4 linked regions of the Saccharomyces cerevisiae S288C genome follow. The protein of the gene in region 1 binds, or shares a complex with, the protein of each later gene. Each region holds a gene or a part of one and is shown in the gene's direction. Other genes may lie near its edges. The genes, in order: IMG1, MRPL3, MRPL16 and MRPL9.

Region 1 (5,197 bases):
ACCGGGTGCATGAAGAACTGTGCCGTGACCATCATGAGGAAGATGGTGCCAATGATGGCGCACACCTTCTCCAACACATACCTCCATCTGATGCGCGACGTTCTTGGGTAGTTGATCTGGTACACGAGGACGGGGAACAAACAGAACATGAAGAAATTGCTGCAACTGATGTTGTTGGGGAAGTCGTTATCCTTGGTCTGGTAGTTCAATTCGAAAAGGCAAAAGTCGCAACTTTTTTGCAGAATCTCGCGGGTCTCTGGGGACAAAGATTCCTTGTATTTTTGCAACTGTTTGGAAGAGTACTCGAGTTCCTGCTTTATGTCCCAAAGATACCCGTTGTAAAAGGCAAACGAGTGGCTCTTCATAACAAACACCACGGAGTGCAGGAACAGGAAGATTCTCGTGACCCAGTTGAAATCAAAGTAGTAGACGTAAATGGGGAACGTCACGGGGATGAAAGCCAACTCGAAGATGCTCACTGCAACGAACCCAGTCCACTTCCAGTTGATGATCCGCTTTTTCACCAGCCAGTGCACGAAAACCACGAAGAAAGTGCACAGGAACATTGCCAAGTCCAACATTGCGATCGTGAACAAGTCCGTTGTCATGTACTGCACGATTTCCAGCTTATTCCATGCACTGCCGTACGACGCATAGTAATCTGTGCAGCACCTGATGGCTATCCAGCCCAAGAACATCCATGCGAACACGTAGATCCCTGAAAAGTTCGACTCCAGTTTTTCTCCTGGGGGGGCATCTGCCTTGTCCGTTTTCTCCGTAGTCTTCACCGTAGTCTTCACCGTGGCCTTGGTCTTGGTCTTTGTCAACTGTAAATTTTTGAGCTGTTTCTCCAGCACCGGACCTTTGAAAGTCGTCTGGAAGGGCACGTTGATGGCGCTGTCCAGGAGCGTGGGGCGAGGATCAAAACTCACGTCCCCAAAAAACGACACATACTTGCTAGCATCCTTTCGGTGGAACCTCGACCGAGACTTGCTCTTCAGGTGTGAAAGGTACTTTTGCATGTGGGCGTCCACAGGGTACTCCTCCTCCTGCTCCTGCTTCCCTGCCACACGTTCCGCCTCAGTCGACTCCACTCCTTCAGTCGACTCCACTGGCTCCACCAGCGACGTGGTAGACGACCGTGGCGAAACCTCCATGGACTCCTGTGGCAGGATCACGTTATCGTACGTGACCGAATGCCGTTTGTTGGCTTCTGCGGAATTGAGTCTGCGGATCTTAAGAAACTCTTCGTCTTGCAACAAATCCTTAGTCTCCGTCATTCTTGCAATCTGTTTTGGCGCTCTTGCTGCAAGCCGTGCTGAACAACCACCTGCGTGAGTGTGCCAATGGCGCCCCTTTCCTCCACCACGCTCGTCCTTCTTATATCATCCGCATGTTGCCAGGGTCTGCTGGGTGCTATTGTTCGCTAAACGAGTCCAACCACGGCCGGGTATTTGATGGCCAAGCCAGATTTTTTTTTTTTTTTCACTCTACACCATCTCACATTTTTCAATTTTATCGATAAAAAGAAGAGATGAGCAGCACATACATAGTGTGATAAAGAGGAAAAAAGCAGAAGAAGCAGAAGAAGAAGAGCATAGTAAAAAAGTAGTGCTAAAAAGGTGCGGTACGGAAACACAGGAAATATATCAGAGAAGAAATAATGTCACGTCCTGAGGAGTTGGCACCACCGGAGATTTTCTATAATGATAGCGAAGCACACAAGTACACGGGTTCGACCAGAGTGCAGCATATCCAGGCGAAGATGACGCTGAGGGCGTTGGAGCTTTTGAATCTGCAGCCGTGCAGTTTCATTCTGGATATCGGGTGCGGGTCCGGACTGTCTGGGGAGATTTTGACGCAGGAGGGAGACCATGTGTGGTGTGGTTTGGATATATCGCCCAGCATGCTTGCGACCGGTCTTAGTAGAGAGCTGGAGGGCGACTTGATGTTGCAGGATATGGGCACCGGGATACCGTTCCGGGCGGGCTCGTTTGACGCGGCTATTAGTATCAGTGCGATCCAATGGCTGTGCAATGCGGACACTTCATACAACGATCCTAAACAGCGGTTGATGAGGTTTTTCAACACATTGTATGCTGCACTGAAGAAGGGAGGGAAATTTGTGGCCCAGTTCTACCCGAAAAACGACGACCAGGTGGACGACATACTGCAGTCTGCCAAGGTGGCAGGGTTCAGTGGCGGGCTTGTGGTGGACGACCCAGAGTCTAAAAAGAATAAGAAGTACTACCTTGTGTTGAGCAGTGGGGCCCCACCGCAGGGGGAGGAGCAGGTGAATTTGGACGGTGTGACCATGGACGAGGAGAACGTCAACTTGAAGAAACAACTGCGCCAGCGCTTGAAGGGAGGCAAAGACAAGGAGTCTGCCAAGAGTTTCATTCTAAGAAAGAAGGAGCTCATGAAAAGACGTGGGAGGAAAGTTGCGAAGGACTCCAAGTTCACCGGGAGGAAAAGAAGACACAGGTTCTAGAAGAAACACACATCCTCACACGCATATTCTTTTGTATACTATAAAAATACACACTTATACATTTCCCTCTGTCTCTGTCTCCTTCTACATGTATACTTGTATATGTATACTTGTATATATACACTTATATCTGTATGTGAGTGGTCAATGGCTCCGCGCACTTTTATGTAGTGATGTATTTTCCTTTTTTTCTTGGTTTTCAATTTTGGTGCTTTGGAACTCCCAGTAAAGAAGAAGAAGAAGAATCGAGTCTTCCCTCTGAGCAGCTGCTGAAAGGGAGAGAGAACCATAGCGATGTGGAGCAGGAACGTCAGATTGCTTGGATCATGGACAAGGTCCTACATGGTCCCCGCCACCAAGAGAAAAACCATCCCCGTGTACCCACCTGTGCAGCGCATAGCTTCGTCGCAGATTATGAAGCAGGTGGCCCTCTCAGAAATAGAGTCTCTGGATCCCGGGGCCGTTAAGAGGAAGCTCATCAGTAAAAAGAACAAGGACCGCTTGAAGGCAGGCGACGTGGTCCGGATTGTGTACGACTCGTCCAAGTGCTCGTACGACACCTTTGTTGGCTACATCCTTTCCATAGACCGCAAACAACTGGTGCAAGACGCCTCGTTGCTGTTGCGGAACCAGATAGCCAAGACGGCCGTCGAGATTAGAGTGCCATTGTTTTCGCCGCTGATCGAGAGAATCGACTTGCTAACCCCCCACGTCTCGAGCAGACAAAGAAACAAACACTACTACATCAGAGGTACAAGGTTGGATGTCGGCGACCTCGAGGCAGGTCTAAGAAGAAAGAAATAGGCTAGGCGCGGGTTCTGTGGCCACCCATCTCCTGTATATAAGAAAAATAGTGCGTGTATAAAATCTACGTATACTAACTATGGGTAAAGTAAACCTTTTTGTACTGTTTTCTTTTTTTTTTTTTTGGTTTCCCGTAGTGATGACGTACGTGTATAGAGAATTGAAGCGAAAATAAAAAAAACGACACAAAATATTGTTCTCATTGGCTTTTTTATTTTCTATTTTACACAGCATATAGAGGTATACTCAAGTGCTAGACATCCTCTAACATCCGCCAAGAAAAACAGCAAAAAAACACTGGTCATGAAGCCACAGTGCATACTCATCTCTTTGCTGGTCAACCTCGCATACGCAGAGGAGTATTTGGTGAGGTTCAAAAATCCCACAGCATTCCAACAATTCACTTCGAATTCCAACAGGTCATGGAGACAGTTCATCGACAACAAAATTGAGAAGAAATTCTCCATCGGATCCTTCCGCGGCGTGACCATGAACCTGTCCAAGAACTTAGTGAACAAGCTGAAGAAAAGCCCACTGGTGGCTGATATTGTGCCCAACTTCAGGTTCGAAGCTTTTGAAGGCGACAGTGTAAATAGCGCCGAGTCGAGTTATACGTTTAACGCTACCGCCAAATACTCGTACGAAGACGTCGAGGAAGAGCAAAATATAACGTATCAACCAGACGCACCCCGTCACTTGGCCCGGATTTCCCGCCACTACCAACTCCCATTCGACGTTGGGGACAAGGACCGCTACAAAAGCTGGTTCAATTACTACTATGAACACGACTATCAAGGTCAAGACGTCAACGCCTATATCATGGATACGGGTATCTTCGCGGACCATCCGGAATTCGAAGACAGAGTCATCCAGGGGATTGACTTGACCAAAGAAGGGTTTGGCGACCAGAATGGCCACGGAACGCACGTGGCGGGACTCGTAGGTTCCAAAACGTATGGAGCGGCAAAGAGGGTCAATCTTGTGGAGGTCAAAGTCTTGGGCAAAGACGGGTCTGGCGAGGCCAGTAACGTTCTTAGTGGTCTGGAGTTCATCGTGGAACATTGCACAAAGGTCAGTCGCCCACAGGGTAAAAAATGCGTGGCCAATCTAAGTCTAGGGAGTTTCAGGAGCCCCATAATCAACATGGCAGTGGAGGGGGCCATTGAAGAAGGTATTGTATTTGTTGCCGCGGCGGGGAACTTCAATTTAGACGCCTACTGGGCCTCACCTGCGTCTGCAGAAAACGTTATCACCGTAGGGGCCTTTGATGACCACATTGACACGATTGCCAAGTTCAGCAATTGGGGGCCCTGTGTAAACATCTTTGCCCCAGGCGTGGAAATTGAGTCGCTATCTCATCTGAACTACAACGACACTTTAATTTTGTCAGGTACATCTATGTCGACGCCCATTGTCACCGGAGTTGCAGCGATCCTACTCTCGAAGGGAATTGAGCCTGAAATGATAGCACAGGAGATTGAGTATTTGTCCACGCGTAATGTTTTCCATAGAAGAACGTTGTTTTTCAAGCCTTCTACGCCAAACCAGATTCTTTACAACGGCGTCGATAAACTGGACGATCCATATGACGACGAAACGTTCCCTCGATTGAACATAGAGGCAATTGCTAAGGAACTGGAGGAGTACAATGCCACTTTACAAACTCCTATGTCTGAGAATCTTCAATCTGGTTCAAAACTGTGGGGTTGGAATAACGATGTCACACTACCTCTTGGTGAGATTCGATTGAAGAGGCGTGATTTTATGAAAAATTTGTAGTGTTTTTCTCTTTCTCTCATAAATAAATTATTGCATAATGTCATGTCAACATTAGTTTTTTCGCTCTTCTCTTGCGTATTCTTGTACTTTTCATTTTTCATTTTTCATAAAGCGAATAAAAGA
Region 2 (6,019 bases), on another chromosome or scaffold:
ATCTACAATGAATAAACATAAGTCGCTCTGTACACTTTTCTTCTTTGCTCTATCTATACCCAGCATTTCTATCTTGTCAGAACTCTTTTCTCTTATACCTGCCGTATCACAGATAATAACCTTATAGCCATTCACGTTTATCATTGCATCAATAGAATCCCTAGTAGTGCCAGGTATATCACTGACAATTGATATATCATCGTTAGTCAAGCTGTTAACTAATGATGACTTACCGACATTGGGAGCACCAAGTAATACCAGCTTTATTCCATTTTGCAGTATGGTAGACTTTTCGACTTTTTGCATGAAAGTAACGATTTGGTCTCGCAGACATATGATGTTCTTTTCTACATTATGGAAAATCTCATCCGTATTCTGAATTTCTTGGCTATTATCGTCGGCAAAATCTATTATAGCAGTCAACTGTGCCATATTCTCGATAATGGTTTCCCTCCAGTTCTCAAATAGGATTTTGTTATCCCCATTGAAACTTGACAAGGCAGATCTCCTTTGAGATTCTGTTTCCGAATCAATAAGATCTTTGATACCTTCAAGTTGGGTAAGGTCAAACTTTCCATTTTGAAACGCCCTCCTGGAGAAGTCGCCAGGCAAGGCAAATCTTATATCTTTACCACTGCTTCTATCGTGTAACGAGCCGATAGCTTTCAGTATACTATTAACTACGGCTTTCCCGCCGTGAACGTGCAGCTCTAACACATCCTCACCAGTAAATGAATAAGGAGCTTGGAAATATAGCAACAACGATGTGTCTAATAATATTTTACTTTCCTTTTGATCATGAGGTTTCACACTACAAGAGGACGGCGAATAAATGTTCCTCAAAATAGCCTTCCTGATCGGCGGAACTGTACTTGAATCAACTAGTCGATTGTAAATGTACTTAGCATGGGTACCAGATATTCTTATGATTGCTATCGCAGAGGTTTGATTTGCTGGTGTAGATAATGCATATATGGTTGGTTGCTGGAAGGTATAAGGCTTTGCAAGTCCGGAGTACCTCTTTAACGACCTTCTTACGAGAAAGGATCTCGAAATAAGCCGTGATTGTAAGAAAGATGCACTATTCATAAATAGAATACTTATTAACCATATATAACATTCTCTAAGTAGATAGCAGTCGTATGGAATATTGCTGTATCTTCATGTAACCTCGTAAAAGACGTTATATATGGGTTAGTTAGCCAAAAAAATAAAAAATGGACGAGTCCGGAATCGAACCGGAGACCTCTCCCATGCTAAGGGAGCGCGCTACCGACTACGCCACACGCCCGATTTGTATTGAAGACTTTGAAGAAGTATAGAAAACATAAATGTAGGATACATTTTTAAACTTTTATTAATGAAACCAATTTGAAGACATGTGGCAACCCGTGTTACTCATATATATATATATATATATATACAACTATCAGAAGATTATCAATCTAATAGATCTTTAACGCCGCCTCAGTACTTTCTGAACTGCAAGTAGAATATTTTTTTCTGGAATCGGCACATTCACATTCAGACGTATACGATGTCAGCACTTAGATTGCTACTATAGCAACTCATTTATTATTAATCCCCATTCGTTCCGATATGGATGGCATATTATTACCTTTAAGAAAGGTGGAGTTCCAAAGATTCATCAATTTTACTGTTTATAGAAAACGTTACGGAAAGATGAAAAGTAAACACCAAGGTCTCTTATGCCTTGACATAAAGAATACGGAATAGAATGATTGTAGACGCAACAAGATGAATAATTAATGGCAAATTATTATCCTATTAGATATAAATTACAGTCGCTTTAATGCGTGATTATAGAAAAGGTCCTTACAATATGCAGCCGGGTAAAGAGTGAAGTTTCCCGCCTCTGAAAAAGAGCAATACTAAAATAATCTGAAAAGAATTGGTGAAAAGAAAGCTGTAGTTATATATACAGAATGGGCATAGTTTTGAAAAGAGCAATAGCAGCAGGTATGAAACCTTTTCCAAACAGTACGTGGCATTGGAGCCGAACCATAAGACCTTTCTCACAGCATTTGTCTAGCACATGCTTTCTGCAGCAATCCTCGAGATTTACTTCAAAACGATACCTACACCTTTCAACATTAACACAACAAGAAAAGCGCTTCCTACCCGAATCTGAACTTGCTAAATATAAGGAATACTACCAGGGTTTGAAGAGCACTGTAAATGAAATACCTGAATCAGTGGCCTCTAAGTCACCTTCGTTAAGAACGCTTCATAAGAGATTACAATTACCTAATGAGTTGACCTATTCAACACTTTCCAGATGCTTAACGTGTCCCTCTGCAAAACTACCCGACAAGATAAATAATCCTACAAAAGGTGCAGCTTTCGTTAATACTGTACCTACTAATAAATACTTGGACAACCACGGTTTAAACATCATGGGAAAGAACTTGCTCTCTTACCACGTTACAAAATCCATTATACAGAAATATCCGAGACTACCCACTGTGGTTTTGAATGCTGCGGTTAACGCATATATATCAGAGGCGGTACTGGCGCACATTGCTAAATACTGGGGTATTGAAGTAGAAACTACGTCTGTTTTATCACGCTATTTGAAAATGGAACCATTCGAATTCACTTTGGGAAGACTCAAATTCTTTAATAATTCATTGAACTCTAAGGACGGTATTGAGCTAATCACCGGAAAGAACTTTTCAGAAACAAGCGCTCTTGCAATGAGCGTGAGGAGTATAATAGCTGCCATCTGGGCAGTAACGGAGCAAAAAGATTCTCAAGCTGTTTACAGATTTATTGATGATCATATAATGAGCAGGAAATTGGATATCACGAAAATGTTCCAGTTTGAACAACCTACAAGAGAATTGGCTATGCTATGTCGTAGAGAGGGGCTGGAGAAACCTGTATCGAAACTGGTCGCTGAGTCTGGTAGACTATCGAAATCACCTGTCTTTATTGTGCATGTATTTTCAGGCGAAGAGACATTAGGTGAAGGTTATGGTTCCTCATTAAAGGAGGCAAAAGCAAGAGCCGCTACTGATGCTTTGATGAAATGGTATTGCTACGAGCCTCTTGCTCAACAGGAACCAGTTATTGATCCTGGCACTGTTGTTGTTTAGTTCTGTGTTTGCCATTTTGTAGATAGAGAACTCCTTAACCAGAATACATTCTTGTACATATATATATACACGTTGGTACGATATGCGTTTACTTTATGTGTACTAAAATATATAAAAGTGAACAGAAGCATGTTCCTTGTTTACTACTATATCTTACCAGGAAACAGACAAAAAAAAAAAAGACTTGCTATATTTAAAGAGAACGCACATTTGTGAGGGGATAATAACACAAAGCAAAGTAATATAGGGTAAATGGACCTCCTAAAATTCAGTTCTCTAGCTATATCAGAAATTAACTTCCTGCACGAGTCATCGTTTGACTCGATAGACCACTCTTGGTTTTTATTGATAGGTTGCAAATTGGATCAAGATGATGAAATTTACATCCCAATAAATGGTAATGAAGCAGAGTCTCAATGGTATATTGAAAAAGTTATACGAATCCCGATGCAGGAAAATGATAAAATAAATCAAGAACGCCTAGAAAGGAGAATTAACCTAACAAAAGTGACTCAAAAGGACATTTGTATACTGGGTATTCTTGATTTATGTCAGTTAGAAGAGGACGAAAATATCACTAATAAAGTGACGGAGAAAGTGCTCACCCAATTGACCGCCTTGGCATTGAAATATCTGATAAAATATAACGTGTTTCGCCAACATACCTCCTTCCAAGAAGCTGTCAATAGTTTAAAGGGTTATAAAATTGAAAATAGTGTACAGATAGGCGCGGAAATTATCCTTGATTTTCTACAAGATAAAGTGCAAATTAAGGATGTAAATGACAGATACCAAATTCCCACACCTAATAATACCGTAGACCCAGGTTTTGATGAGTTTCAATTAATTGACATGAAGGATAAAGAAATCAATATTCAAAAATATAATAATAATACCATAAGAAAATTACTCGAGAAGATTAATCGAATGATAATATTCTTGAAAAATTATGATGCCACTGACAAGCCTTTCTCTTCCACGCAAGATGTAATACTTCGAAAAATATCAATGCTTGTAACACAACTGCAAAGAGGTGGAACAAGTGACATGAATTACCTGCTGGATAACAAAATTAATGAAATAAAATTATTAGAAATTTCGTGTAAACAATGGGAAATTTCAAATATGTTAAAAAAATAACTAGAATATATATATTACACAGAATTATTTTCTTCACTTCCTCCGTCATCAGATTAGTAGCTTCCTAATACCTGTCACAACTTCCCATTTATTCGTGTGTTTGTTGTATGTACAACCCAGCAGCTTTTTATTGGTAACGGGACAATGGCCTTCATTATTAACCAAATAGCTTATGGCACACGGGTAGCATGCCACGTATCCTGTTTCCAATACACAGGGGTTTTGTACAGTTTTTTCGCAAACGGGACAGGCCTCAGAAACTCCCTCTTTATCTTCCGTTTTGTCACTATGTGAGGAGAAAGGCGGCCTTGGAATATCTTCATCCAAGTCATTGACCCTTTTCTGCAATTTAGTAGTCATGTCTTGTGTGGTCCACCATTGGTACACTCTTAGGACAAATATAAAAGTGGGGAAGAATTGCGAACCCATAAATGTTAAAAATCTGGGTATAATCGATAATTGTCCTTGCATTAGCGCGAAAATTGACGATATATTTGTTTTCCTTAGCCTATTATCCATCCCTTTCGTCTCTTTGAGACCAGAGAGTTCTGACGATAGTGGTCTTACCGTTGTGTACTCTATCTTGAATAAGTATTGCAACAAGGAAACCGACCCTGTTCTTTTAGTTAAAAATAATAATTTAACGAGTAAATTGGATAACGCTAATAATTTCTTAATAAATGGATAAATTCTTAGAAACGCTCTCTTGGGCCATTTATTTTCAGTTTCATCGCTGCTGAATATATTATTCATTGATATTTTCTCTAATATTTCATCCAACTTCGCTGTGATATAGGGGAGAATAATTTTTTCCAAAAAAATAACACTCTTTTGCTGTTGATTCAGCTGCAAACCTTGGGGCCATTCACTCTGGCCCTTTGGATTTAAACATTGTGTTAAGGCAAGATTTCTGTCCCTCGAACTAAATAGTTGCAATCCATAAAACCGATCAATAAACGTAGAATTGTATGTCTTTAGATGATACCATTCAACAAACCCTTTTATCGCTTGAAACCACTCAAAAAAGTACTTGTTCAGCCGCAAAGTATACCTGTTAGGGAAGTTCGCCACTAAATGATTTGCCAGTAGATAACGGATGGATGCGGGCAGTAACGAATCGATTTCTTGTGATGACATTATCTCAAAGATAGTCGGATACAATGGTTCTAATCCCACCCCATTTCGACCGCTTGTTGAAGACCCTCGACTAGATTGTCCTGCAGACGGTAGGTTTGAATAAAAGCTCATCACTTGACGACTACCTTCCTTTCCTTTGCTTTATTTTCCCTGCTTATTCCCTTGCTTCTTCTGGAGCCTTCATGCAAAACCGTTTCTCTACCTAATGTGATTCTGCGGTAAGCATTGCTCTTAAGCATCTGAATGAGACGAAAGGATGACTCCACACTAAATTGTACCTCTCTTCTCCAGTGACTGAATTGGAGGTTACCATTGCCAGTGACGGTAATCGTCCACATCGATGATTTCTTAGTATAACCCACACACCTCTCAGACATAGAGGCCCCAGGTGCAACGTGATAGTATAACTGCCCGGAAGTAGAAATACAACTATTCCCTTCATATTAAAAGAATAAAACTTCATTTGAACTCTTTAAAATTTAGTGGTTCATTGTGGTCCTTGTGTAAACGGAAAAAAAGGATATTACGGTAGTGGGTAGTACATAACAAGAGATGACTATCCCTGGAAGATTTATGACAATTGATAAGGGCACTTTTGGTGAATACACTGCTAGCACCCGTTG
Region 3 (5,495 bases), on another chromosome or scaffold:
GTGGTGCAGACTACACTTTAATCTCAATTGACCAAAGTGAGTCCTCAAGTAAGACGAATATTATTTTTCTTTCACGACTCAATTGAATTCCTAATAACACTTTTGTTTGCTGTATTAGCTTTTAGCTTTGAGAGCGATGAAGCAAGAGAGAAAAATAAGGGTAGAAAAAAAAATTAGAAATTGAGGAGGGGAAGGTATTCTAACCTGGTGAATTCCCAGATACATAAGTATAAGAATTTCTCGGCAGAGATTATATACAATAAAGAATAAGGTTCAGTTGGACGATTGCGATAGTAGCGTGAATAACAATTTACTTTAATCAATCGTTAGGATACTTCTAATGGGCTTTTTTAACAATAATCCGGTAATTGAATTCTTCCACAGAATAACGAGAAAACCCAGTACCATTGCGATGTGGGTGTTTGCTGGTCTGATTTGTTCAAGTACATTTTATTTAATGTTCATGTCATCACCTACAATCGACTTCAACTCGAAGAGTAAGAAAAAAAATGATAAATAATCTCCCTGTTCAGTACTTTGGTAAAAGCACGCCATGGAAAATTATTTAGAACTTCCTTATACAAAACTAAATATTTGAGCATATTCTATATTCATACATAGATACATTCTTTGAATTTCAAGACTCTTATTTCTCATTTTGAAAGCCAAGATTGGAGGAAAAATCGTAAATTTTTATCCAGTCAGTAACAACTGTTGGCCAGTCGAAAACTCTATCGAAACAGCTTCTATATGTCAGATAAGATAGATTTATTAAATTAAATATATTCAGGAGAGGAAAGACAACATGAACGAAAAAAAAAAAACAGTGTAGAGAAGCACTACAAATATTTTCTCTTCCAAAAAATATAATATACATAAAAAAATTAGAAATTTATCTTTGTTAATGCAGTAGACTTTTAATTCTAAAATTTTGATTTAAAAGTTGAATTTGTTTTCGCCGGCCTCAAGATCGTACTTACCTTCAATGACATCTTGAAGGATACCAGCGGAAGCAGCAACTAAACCCAAAAATGGTTTGGATGGATCTAAGACCTTTGATGTGTATTCTGGGTGATATTGAGTAGCAATATAGTATGGGTGATTCTTTAATTCCAAAATCTCACAACGCTTTCCAGTGTCGTCCTTACCTACAAAGATCAACCCGTTGTTTTCCAATTCATCAACCATCTTTGGATTGATTTCGTAACGGTGACGGTGTCTTTCATGGACTTCGGAGACGTCACCGTATAACTTCTTGATTTGACTCCATTCAGTTTCATTTTGGAAAAATGTTGGTCTCAAACCTAATCTCATTGAGCCCCCCATGGTTTCCTTGTCAATTTCAGGCATGAAAACGACAACGTGATTTTTTTCATCAATGTCTGGATAAAATTCTGCCGAATGACTGTCTTTTCTTCCCAACACACTACGTGTAAATTCAATGGTGGCAATTTGTAAACCCAGGCAAACCCCTAAGAATGGAATGTGATTTTCACGAGCCCATCTAGCAGCCAAAACCATACCTTCAGTACCTCTAACACCAAAACCACCGGGGATTAAGATACCGTCTGCGGTACTGACCATGTTCCATGCTTCATGAAATTTAGTTTTGTTGCTTTCTTGTGCTTCAGGTTCCAAATCAGTAGCTTCCACCCATTTAATGTCTAACTTACGACGACACTTCATGGATGAATGTTCCAATGCTTTTATCACTGATAGATAAGAATCTTTCAAGTTGGTGTATTTCCCAACCAAAGCAATCTTCACTGTTTCCATGGATTCATCGAAGTTACCTGTTGTGGCCTTCCATTTAGACAATAATTCCAGGCCTCTTTGTTTTTCTTCTTCTGTAAGTGATATTTCATCTAACTTTAATCTGGCGTGTAAGTAATCAATCATCTTTTGTTCCAGTAGCAACAATGGGACGTGATAAGTAGAATTAACATCGTGAACGTTAACCACCTGTTCAGGCCCCACATGACAAAACATGGCAATCTTATCGATTGTTGGTTTATCCAAAGTTTCACTACATCTACAGGCGATCATATCTGGAACTAAACCAAGAGACCTCAAACCTTTGATGGCAGCTTGAGTTGGCTTAGTTTTTTGTTCACCGTGGATGACAGGAACTAGAGAAACGTGTATCAAGGCAAAATTTTCCTTTCCAACTTTAAATTGGAATTGTCTTAGTGCCTCCACAAAAGGAGCACTTTCAATGTCACCAACTGTCCCACCCAATTCAATGATACAAACATCTGGTTCCATACCGGTGTCATCTACAGGAATTTTGGCCACGCGCTCAATCCAATCTTGGATAGCGTTGGTCAAATGAGGGACAATTTGCACGGTTTTGCCTAAATAGTCACCTTTTCTTTCCTTAGCAATAACGTGCGAGTATATTTTACCAGTAGTAATGTTATGATCTTTAGTCAAAGTAACTCCAAGGTATCTCTCGTAGTTACCCAAGTCCAAATCTGTTTCACCACCGTCGTCAAGCACGAAACATTCACCATGTTCCAAAGGAGACATAGTACCTGCATCAATGTTCATATAAGGGTCAATTTTAATTGACGTAACCTTTAAACCGAGGGTTTTCATTAGCATACCAGTTGAAGATGCAAGAACACCTTTACCGATACCCGAAATGACACCACCTGAAACAACAACGTACTTCATTTTCTGTCTATAAGTTTCTTTTGTTCTATTGACCAATTCACTGAGAAACTGCCTGAAACTTTTTCGACCTTAGAATGGCAGAAAAATGGCAAATACTGTAAAATACTTAACATTTAACTAAATTTTATTCTATGCTTTTCCTCTCGATGAGATGAGCTGTGAAAAATTTTGAAAAAAAAAAAAAAAAAAAAAAAAAAAAAAATTTGTTATCACCAATAACGAGAAACCTAACTCTAAAACTTAGGGTCAAAGAACAGAACCCTAGGCTTTGTATCCAGTTGAATCACTAATTACGAAAGAATGCTGGTGGAAATAATAATATCATATTGGTGCTCAAATAACAAGAAGACTTCTTTGGAAGAAATTATTACCAATTAACAGTCCACTTGTAGAGCGTACATATTGCCGGGAAGTTGATTACCTTTCACCAGAGGTACAGAGGAATAGAATTTTGCAACATGTTCCCCTATTTAACAAGAATGAATTTATCCATAAAGATGGGAGGGCTAACTTTAAAAGAAAGTTCCCCCAATGCTTTTTTAAATAACACCACTATTGCTAGGAGATTCAAGCATGAATATGCCCCACGTTTCAAAATCGTACAGAAAAAGCAAAAAGGTAGAGTGCCAGTTCGTACAGGTGGTTCAATAAAGGGATCCACTTTGCAATTTGGTAAGTACGGATTACGACTGAAAAGCGAAGGTATTAGGATATCCGCGCAACAGCTGAAGGAAGCAGATAACGCAATTATGAGATATGTCAGGCCTTTAAACAATGGTCATTTGTGGAGGCGTTTGTGTACAAACGTTGCTGTATGTATCAAGGGTAACGAAACAAGAATGGGTAAAGGTAAAGGTGGGTTTGACCACTGGATGGTGAGGGTACCCACAGGGAAGATCCTTTTCGAAATAAATGGTGATGATTTGCATGAAAAAGTCGCACGGGAAGCCTTCAGAAAAGCAGGCACCAAGTTACCTGGGGTATATGAATTTGTATCCTTGGATTCTCTGGTTAGAGTTGGATTACATAGTTTCAAAAATCCTAAAGACGACCCAGTGAAGAATTTTTACGATGAAAATGCAAAGAAGCCATCAAAGAAGTATTTGAATATTTTAAAGTCTCAAGAACCACAGTACAAACTCTTCAGAGGACGTTGAACGGATTGAACACACCATGTATACATGTATATAACTATTGAAAAATATCGATATTCACAATCAAGTAATCTAGCCATGGCTATGAGTTTATTAATTCTAGTATGCACTGTATACTCTCTGCGGAAGAATAGGAGTTTTTCCCCGGAGTGAGCGCTGAAGAAACACATGACGACGTGAAAAAACACTTGTTTGATCCAGCTGAGGTATAAACACTGAGAAATATTTGAGGGTCAAAGAAGCACTAGGAACGTTACAGTTGGAATTTGCTAGTCAATCGAGTTTCCAATTTCGCAACCTTTATTATAGTACTAATCTTATAAGCCATGGATCGCAAAAAAACACTTATAAACTCAAGTGTTTCTAATAATAACAGTACCATCAAGGGCCTACAGTTATTCATTGCAGATCTTCGTTCTGCACAACAAGCACAAGAGCAGGAAAAGAGAATACAATCTGAAATTGTCAAAATTAAACAGCATTTCGATGCTGCAAAGAAAAAACAAGGCAATCACGACAGATTAGGTGGCTATCAAAGAAAGAAGTACGTTGCCAAGCTAGCCTATATATATATTACTTCTAATACGACAAAACTAAATGAAATTTTATTCGGGTTGGAGCAAACGGTAGAGCTGTTGAAGTCCAGCATATTTTCTGAAAAATTCATTGGATATATGACCCTTGAGTTGCTTTATGAACGTAGTGAAGTTGTTGCCAAAGTTAACGATGAGGTGAATTATCAACTGATGAAAGATCTCTCTTCTTCCGATGATAATTTCGTAATGTTGGCGCTGAATTTTGTTGGTGTAGTAGGAGAACTTACGAACCGTCTAGCGTACAACGATGATATCACAACAGGAGTATTCAAGATATTAAGATCACCGACCTCCTCCATTTATCTCAAGAAAAAATCAGCATTGTCATTTCTAGCACTATTGAAAAGTAATCATTCTATACTGACCGAAGATTTACAACGTAAGCAACTATGGATACAAAGGATATTAAGCTTATTGGATGATACGGAAAACTATAGGTTAACTTTAGCTACGATTCCGTTAATAGAATTCATTGCAAAATACATTGATCCCAGTTACTGTACGAGACTATTACCACAGCTAACAGAAATTTTGTACAATTGTGTTGTTGTTGGTACTTCAAGATCTAGTGACAATCAGTTTCCGTTAGAATATACGTTCGCGAATATGCCAAATCCTTGGCTTATCACAAAAGTTGTCTCTTTGTTGAGCATATTGATTGCCTCACCAACTGAGAGGGATTCTGGCTCATTACTACAAACCAACAACATAGATAATGAATTACTAAATAAACTTCGAAAGTGTGTTTCCGTTGCCATCGAATTAGGAACCAGACAAGCTCAAGATCCCATGGAACGTATCGTCCAAAACACAGTATTGTTTTCATTGATCAATTTCGCCTCTAAGCTAGATCCGTCGGATGAAGCTATCAGCAATTCTGTGACAGCCTTATGTTCCCTGCTAACATCTAAGGAAATTAATATTCGGTATTTAACGCTAGATTCATTGGTCAAATTATGCTCATCAAGCGGGAAACCTGCAATTGATGCCGTTCGTTACAAGAATTTGGATATGATTTTTCATCTTTTGAACACAGAAAGAGATTCATCTATTGTTAGGAAGGTTGTTG
Region 4 (5,537 bases), on another chromosome or scaffold:
CAAAGGGATAATGGGTAGAGTCTGGCACTCCTACCCTAAATTGTTAACTTCCTATTTGAGTTCGTGGTGTTAGTATTCTCATCACGATTAACGAATATGAAAAAAAAAATTGAAAATTTTGTAGAAACGGAGTGCTCAGTATAAAAAGCGCATAGTAAGACTTTTTGTTAAATGTTTCTTTCCTCCTATATATTTTAAAATACTTTTCTTTCTTTTTGTTTTAAAACCTGCAAGCAGCTTTACAGATCAATGGCGGAGGGAGGTCAACATCAAGAACTGTGGGCCTTTTATTGCCTATAGAACTTATAACGAACATGGTTCTTGCCTTTTACCAGAACCATCCGGGTGTTGTCTCCATAGAAACAGGTAAAGCTGTCCGTTACTGTGGGCTTGCCATATTTTTTGGAACTTTTCTGCCCTTTTTCTCAATGAGTAAGGAGGGCGTTTATCTTTTCTATTTTATTTTTCTACAAATTTGATTCATGAGTCCATGGAACAAATATATAGAACTCATTTTCTTGTTTCGGTATATATATTAACTCCATTGAAGCATTTGCTTTTATCCTGACTGCATTTTTAGGAAGCTTTAAGTAAAGAATAGATAATATGGAGCAGAAATAAGACGATCACAGGAGCAAGTCGCGAAAAAAGAACAAGAATGCGCTTTTAAAGTTTCGCGTTCGATACATTTGAGACTAAACTATTCGAAAGTGTTCGATGTTCAATAATGACCAGTCGCGTAAAGGAGCATTTGCATAAAAGAGTATACCCTTTACTCTTGTTTCATCGGTTGTTGCCTTTATCTTAGGCTGCAATAGCATAGTAAAGCAACTTGTGCGATCGAAATATACTTCATAGTAACTGCAAGTGAGAAATAGTGCTTCCCCTACTTTAGATGCTATAAAGCGTCCATGTTTAGTCACTACCGCTATAAAGAAAATTCTTGCCAAAAAAGAGAGGCTATACCAGACAAATCTCGCGTATCACTGACATTTCTTCAGAAAAGAACCGATTCATCTAACGTCACTGTTGCAGTGGCCGTTGCTGTTCCCATTGGTGCTATTATTATAGTACTATCCGTCGTTTTAATAGTAGTATATAGGAGATGCAAAAAAGAACCTTCTATGCAGGATTTTGACCCAAATTTTGAGGGCGATTTATACTATTTACCGAAGATGGATTCTTCTATGAATTCTGCAAACTCAGACAGCAATGCCACAGAAAAGAGGTTTATTTATGGTGGTTATGACGATTTTTTGCAACCGTCAATCGAAAACTCACAATCTTTCAAAGATTATGTGAGGCGTATCAATGAGCATGCACCCTCCGCTTATAATATTGCTTCACTGGCTTCGCAGAATAACAGCAAGTTATCGGTCCCCTCCAAGCACATTGACCTTTCGAATAAGATTTCTTTCGAATCGTTAGAGAATTCTGAGCTGATTGTTTCACCACAACACTCAAATACTGGGCAAGACTGTGATCAAAGATGTGATAGTACGTCAAATCCTGATGTAAATGAAAAGTCCAGCCATAACAACGATAATCGACTTAAATCGAATTATACGAGTCGTAGCGGGCTCGAGCCTCAGTGTTCGAGAGAGGAGGAAGAAAATATTGACAGAATAAGAAGCATTTATAACATTTATTTTGAGAAAAGTAATAGCACGATACGATCCTCTGTAACTTCTTCGATACGGCGTGACTCTAAATTAAACATCGCTACAAGAAAAAGTGTAAATATGAGCTCTCAAGACAATCCAAATGATACTACATTAATTGAACAGAGTCACTTCGGAAGTACAACTGTCCAAGAAATTGATTCCAGTTCCAGCGCCAATGAGGAATATGAAGATGCAACTGATTATCTGCAAGTGCCGGCACCACAAGAGAATAAAAACATTGCATCGTCAGTATATTCAGAAGTAGCAACCAGAGAAAAAGTGATTCCCGAATCGTCTCTATCTCTTACATTCCCACCACCGAATGGTCTTTCAACGAGAATTACCTCATCAATATATTCTGACACGGTCGCTAAGGACCATATTCACTCTGCAAAGGCTCCCGTACGGGCCCTTTCGGAGGGTTCGGGTCAGTCAAATCTTACTTCTGCTCAGCAATATTCTACATATTTTATAGATCACTGCAACCAGAGCAATGATGACAATTACTACTATAATTATCCCCTCCCGTTAGAACATCCTCAAAATTATGAGAACATCGGAGATTTGCCCACGCCTACCCAATTCATTTATTCCACCTCTTCGCATTCCTTGACGTCATTCAAAGGAAGGCCTAAACCTCCAAAAACACTAAAACATGTACCTACAGCTAGGCTTAATGGGACAGCGTTGAATCCAATGGATCATCCTGAAATGTTTTACAGTTCGCCTACGAAAATACCGTCAACATCTTTGACAAAGCAATTTTGTACGCCCCTTCCATATCAGCTTAGACAAAGTGTTGTTATGACCAACCCATCAGAACTTTCTATGAAACCTCGCTATAAGCCTGCAGGATCTTTAAGAAATTTAATAAAGGCCCAATATCTCCCTGGTAACTCATCCACTACAACATCATCTTCTTTATCACAACCGCCGTCAACGTTGTCAAATGCAATAAATTTCCGTGTTAGTGGGTTATTGGATGACACTGACATCTTGCAGCCTCCTAGTGTGGGGGAAATCTTACCTTTTAAAGCTTCTACGGAAGACTTAAGGAAGCAACTGGGCACATCCCATAATTACGAAATAACACCGTACGAGAATGTACATGTATAAATAAAATTCAAAATCATGAAATGTTGTAACAGTAAATAAGCACCATAAATTCGTTTCTCGATGATCCTCTTCTTTCCTTAATTGAAATGCTAATGCCATTTCTCCTATTACAGTCGCGAGATATTTGTTTTCGGGTAATCCCTTGTCAAACGAACTTTATTGAAAAATATATGGACGATAAATTGACAACTGGGACGAGAAAGGGCAACTCTTTGAAAGCAAGAGAGAACAAATATAGCCATGTCGAAGTTCCTACAGGGATCAATATTTAGCATATCAAAACTTCATGTTAGATATTCTTCTACTCGGCCTTTTCTAGTGGCTCCTAGTATTGCTAACAGTATAACAACCGAGGCTCCAGCGATTAATCACTCACCTGAACTGGCAAATGCGAGAAAATGGCTACCAAAAAGATGCGGTTTAATTACTCGTAAGAAGGGAATGATGCCTTATTTTGATAAATCTACTGGTGAAAGAAGCGCCGCTACTATATTAGAAGTTAATAATGTTGAAGTAATAATGCATAGAACTTCGGAGGTCAATGGGTACTTCGCGTGTCAAGTAGGGTACGGATCAAGGCATTTGTCTAAAGTTAGCAGACAAATGCTTGGTCATTTCGCTTCTAAAGTTGTTAACCCAAAAGAGCATGTGGCCGAATTCCGAGTTAAAGATGAAAAGGGATTAATACCACCTGGCACATTATTGAAACCCTCTTTTTTCAAAGAAGGCCAATATGTTGACGTCAGATCAGTCAGCAAAGGCAAAGGTTTTACTGGTGTGATGAAAAGGTATGGATTCAAGGGTTTGAGAGCATCTCATGGTACATCTATTATGCATAGACACGGTGGTTCTTATGGTCAAAACCAAGACCCAGGTAGGGTACTGCCAGGAAGAAAGATGCCTGGTCATATGGGAAACGAGCATGTTACTATCCAAAATGTTAAAGTTTTGAAAGTCGACGATGAAAATAATGTTATTTGGGTTAAAGGCTCTGTGGCTGGGCCCAAAAACAGTTTCGTTAAAATTCAAGATGCAATCAAAAAAACTTGAGCATAAGGCGTATAAGTATTTTACTACAATCATGTACATACATCAATAATAACAATAAAATGGGTAATCACTTAAGAATCTTCAAATAATATTCTTTACTTTTCCATGAAGTTGGCTAAATAGTATTTAGTACTATATTAGAGTATTGGAACTTTGAAGAACCAATTTACATACAATATGAAGTGAAAAAGAAATGAAAACCCCGTGGTTATAAATTAGAGACTAGTTAATAAAAGGGAAAAAATATTGGAAATTTAAAGAATGATACGCCACCGCCTCTAATCATCAAGTTCGGAAGGTTTTAATAACCCACCAATCTTGGCAGCTTTTTCCCTCTCTAGTCTATTCTGTTCCATTAATGCATTCTCTTTATCTTCAGCAAACAAATAATCTGTTGGATCACCTCCGACTTCTTTGATTTGCACCAAAAAGTCCCTCAAAGTGCCTTTGAAGACCACTAAGTCTTTGTATTGTTTAGTTAATGCAGAGAGAAAACTTGCGATTTGTTCGGATGTTAAATGGGGGAATGCATTACTTAACATATTAGCCAAATATTGGCTTAAGTAGACTTGATTTGAAGTTCCTTGTGGTACCTCAGCTTCTTGATATAATGGTACCGAAATCTTGTTATCATAAACCAAAGAAATCAACTTCATTAGTAACAAAGCTTGCTTAGAAAAACCGGATTTGTGGTCGGAATCGGTTAAAACAAAAAACGTTTCACTGACAAAAATGAAAAAATAATTCTTGTGGAACTCATTTGCAAATGGGACATTTCCCATTCTTTCAATGTTTTTCACTAGGTCTAATGCAATCTGTAGACCATTAACTTCGACATCTCTATTGTTATGTTTGAACGCCCAACAAATAGCGTCAACAAACAATTTAAAGGCAGCCGGAGGTAGTTCCAAAAATGCAGCAAATGATTTCTCATTGATGACCTTCAATAACTTGTAAAATTCTACACGATGCTCTGGATATTCTGTGAAGTCTTTGTTAATCATGTCCAAAGTGCATTCAAATACACTCTGTAAAATTAAAATAACACCTTGTGGGATCATATGACCAACCTTTTCTACTACTGTTGTCATACAATTTAGCACTTCGGCGTCCCTTGCATCAGGAACGTTGTTCATATAGTCTTCAAGTACAGCGTTCAATAATGGCTCAACTAACACTTTAACGACATCATCCAAATTTCTCGCCTTGGATATATAGGTCTCAACAAGCTTCAGAATCTCTTTTTTGATGGTTCTCAAACCACGAACCTTTGGTGTCTTCGTAGCAATTAGACCTTCTGCGGCAACTTGAGCAGAAATCATCGAAGAAACAGCTCTGTATAGCTGAAGCATATTGTAATAGATGTGACCCAACTGTGGATAGAAATCTGCTCCCATTGAGGTGCAGACAGCTACATTGGTTTTTATAATATTCGCAATAATTTTGACAGTTTCAGAATCTAACAACAATGTTGGGTTAGCAGTGGATTGTTCCACTATAGTGTCCCAAGCCATATTTGGCAGTTGCATCAAATCACTTAATAATCTATTTCTCTCCGCTACGCTTCTTTCTTCAGAAATAATAATACCACAAGCCTTGTAAAATGTATGGACCTGTTGCGGCTGTAGGTCAGCAGTTGTCTTTTGAATATCCCTAATTATTGTTTGGATGAAAGGCTCAGACTCACGGGGTTGTTGAATAACAAAA

The links.
Region 2: IMG1 (region 1) and MRPL3 share a complex: the UniProt entries of both Saccharomyces cerevisiae proteins name them as parts of the mitochondrial large ribosomal subunit.
Region 3: IMG1 (region 1) and MRPL16 share a complex: the UniProt entries of both Saccharomyces cerevisiae proteins name them as parts of the mitochondrial large ribosomal subunit.
Region 4: IMG1 (region 1) and MRPL9 share a complex: the UniProt entries of both Saccharomyces cerevisiae proteins name them as parts of the mitochondrial large ribosomal subunit.

What each region holds. Positions count from the first base shown.
Region 1 is NC_001135.5:208,012-213,208, reverse strand, and holds IMG1 (mitochondrial 54S ribosomal protein bL19m IMG1), read left to right. Parts: upstream 1-2,785; coding exon 2,786-3,295; downstream 3,296-5,197. Other genes in the region: ARE1 (sterol acyltransferase), read right to left, coding at 1-1,280; BUD23 (18S rRNA (guanine1575-N7)-methyltransferase), read left to right, coding at 1,664-2,491; RRT12 (Rrt12p), read left to right, coding at 3,599-5,074. UniProt on the Saccharomyces cerevisiae protein: Component of the mitochondrial ribosome (mitoribosome), a dedicated translation machinery responsible for the synthesis of mitochondrial genome-encoded proteins, including at least some of the essential transmembrane subunits of the mitochondrial respiratory chain.
Region 2 is NC_001145.3:319,929-325,947, forward strand, and holds MRPL3 (mitochondrial 54S ribosomal protein mL44 MRPL3), read left to right. Parts: upstream 1-1,946; coding exon 1,947-3,119; downstream 3,120-6,019. Other genes in the region: MSS1 (Mss1p), read right to left, coding at 1-1,089; CSI1 (Csi1p), read left to right, coding at 3,372-4,259; PEX12 (ubiquitin-protein ligase peroxin 12), read right to left, coding at 4,308-5,507; YMR027W (putative methyltransferase), read left to right, coding at 5,949-6,019. UniProt on the Saccharomyces cerevisiae protein: Component of the mitochondrial ribosome (mitoribosome), a dedicated translation machinery responsible for the synthesis of mitochondrial genome-encoded proteins, including at least some of the essential transmembrane subunits of the mitochondrial respiratory chain.
Region 3 is NC_001134.8:143,053-148,547, forward strand, and holds MRPL16 (mitochondrial 54S ribosomal protein uL16m MRPL16), read left to right. Parts: upstream 1-3,134; coding exon 3,135-3,833; downstream 3,834-5,495. Other genes in the region: MIN6 (Min6p), read left to right, coding at 341-520; CTP synthase URA7, read right to left, coding at 937-2,676; APL3 (Apl3p), read left to right, coding at 4,157-5,495. UniProt on the Saccharomyces cerevisiae protein: Component of the mitochondrial ribosome (mitoribosome), a dedicated translation machinery responsible for the synthesis of mitochondrial genome-encoded proteins, including at least some of the essential transmembrane subunits of the mitochondrial respiratory chain.
Region 4 is NC_001139.9:934,367-939,903, reverse strand, and holds MRPL9 (mitochondrial 54S ribosomal protein uL3m MRPL9), read left to right. Parts: upstream 1-3,020; coding exon 3,021-3,830; downstream 3,831-5,537. Other genes in the region: TOS2 (Tos2p), read left to right, coding at 912-2,780; exportin CRM1, read right to left, coding at 4,109-5,537. UniProt on the Saccharomyces cerevisiae protein: Component of the mitochondrial ribosome (mitoribosome), a dedicated translation machinery responsible for the synthesis of mitochondrial genome-encoded proteins, including at least some of the essential transmembrane subunits of the mitochondrial respiratory chain.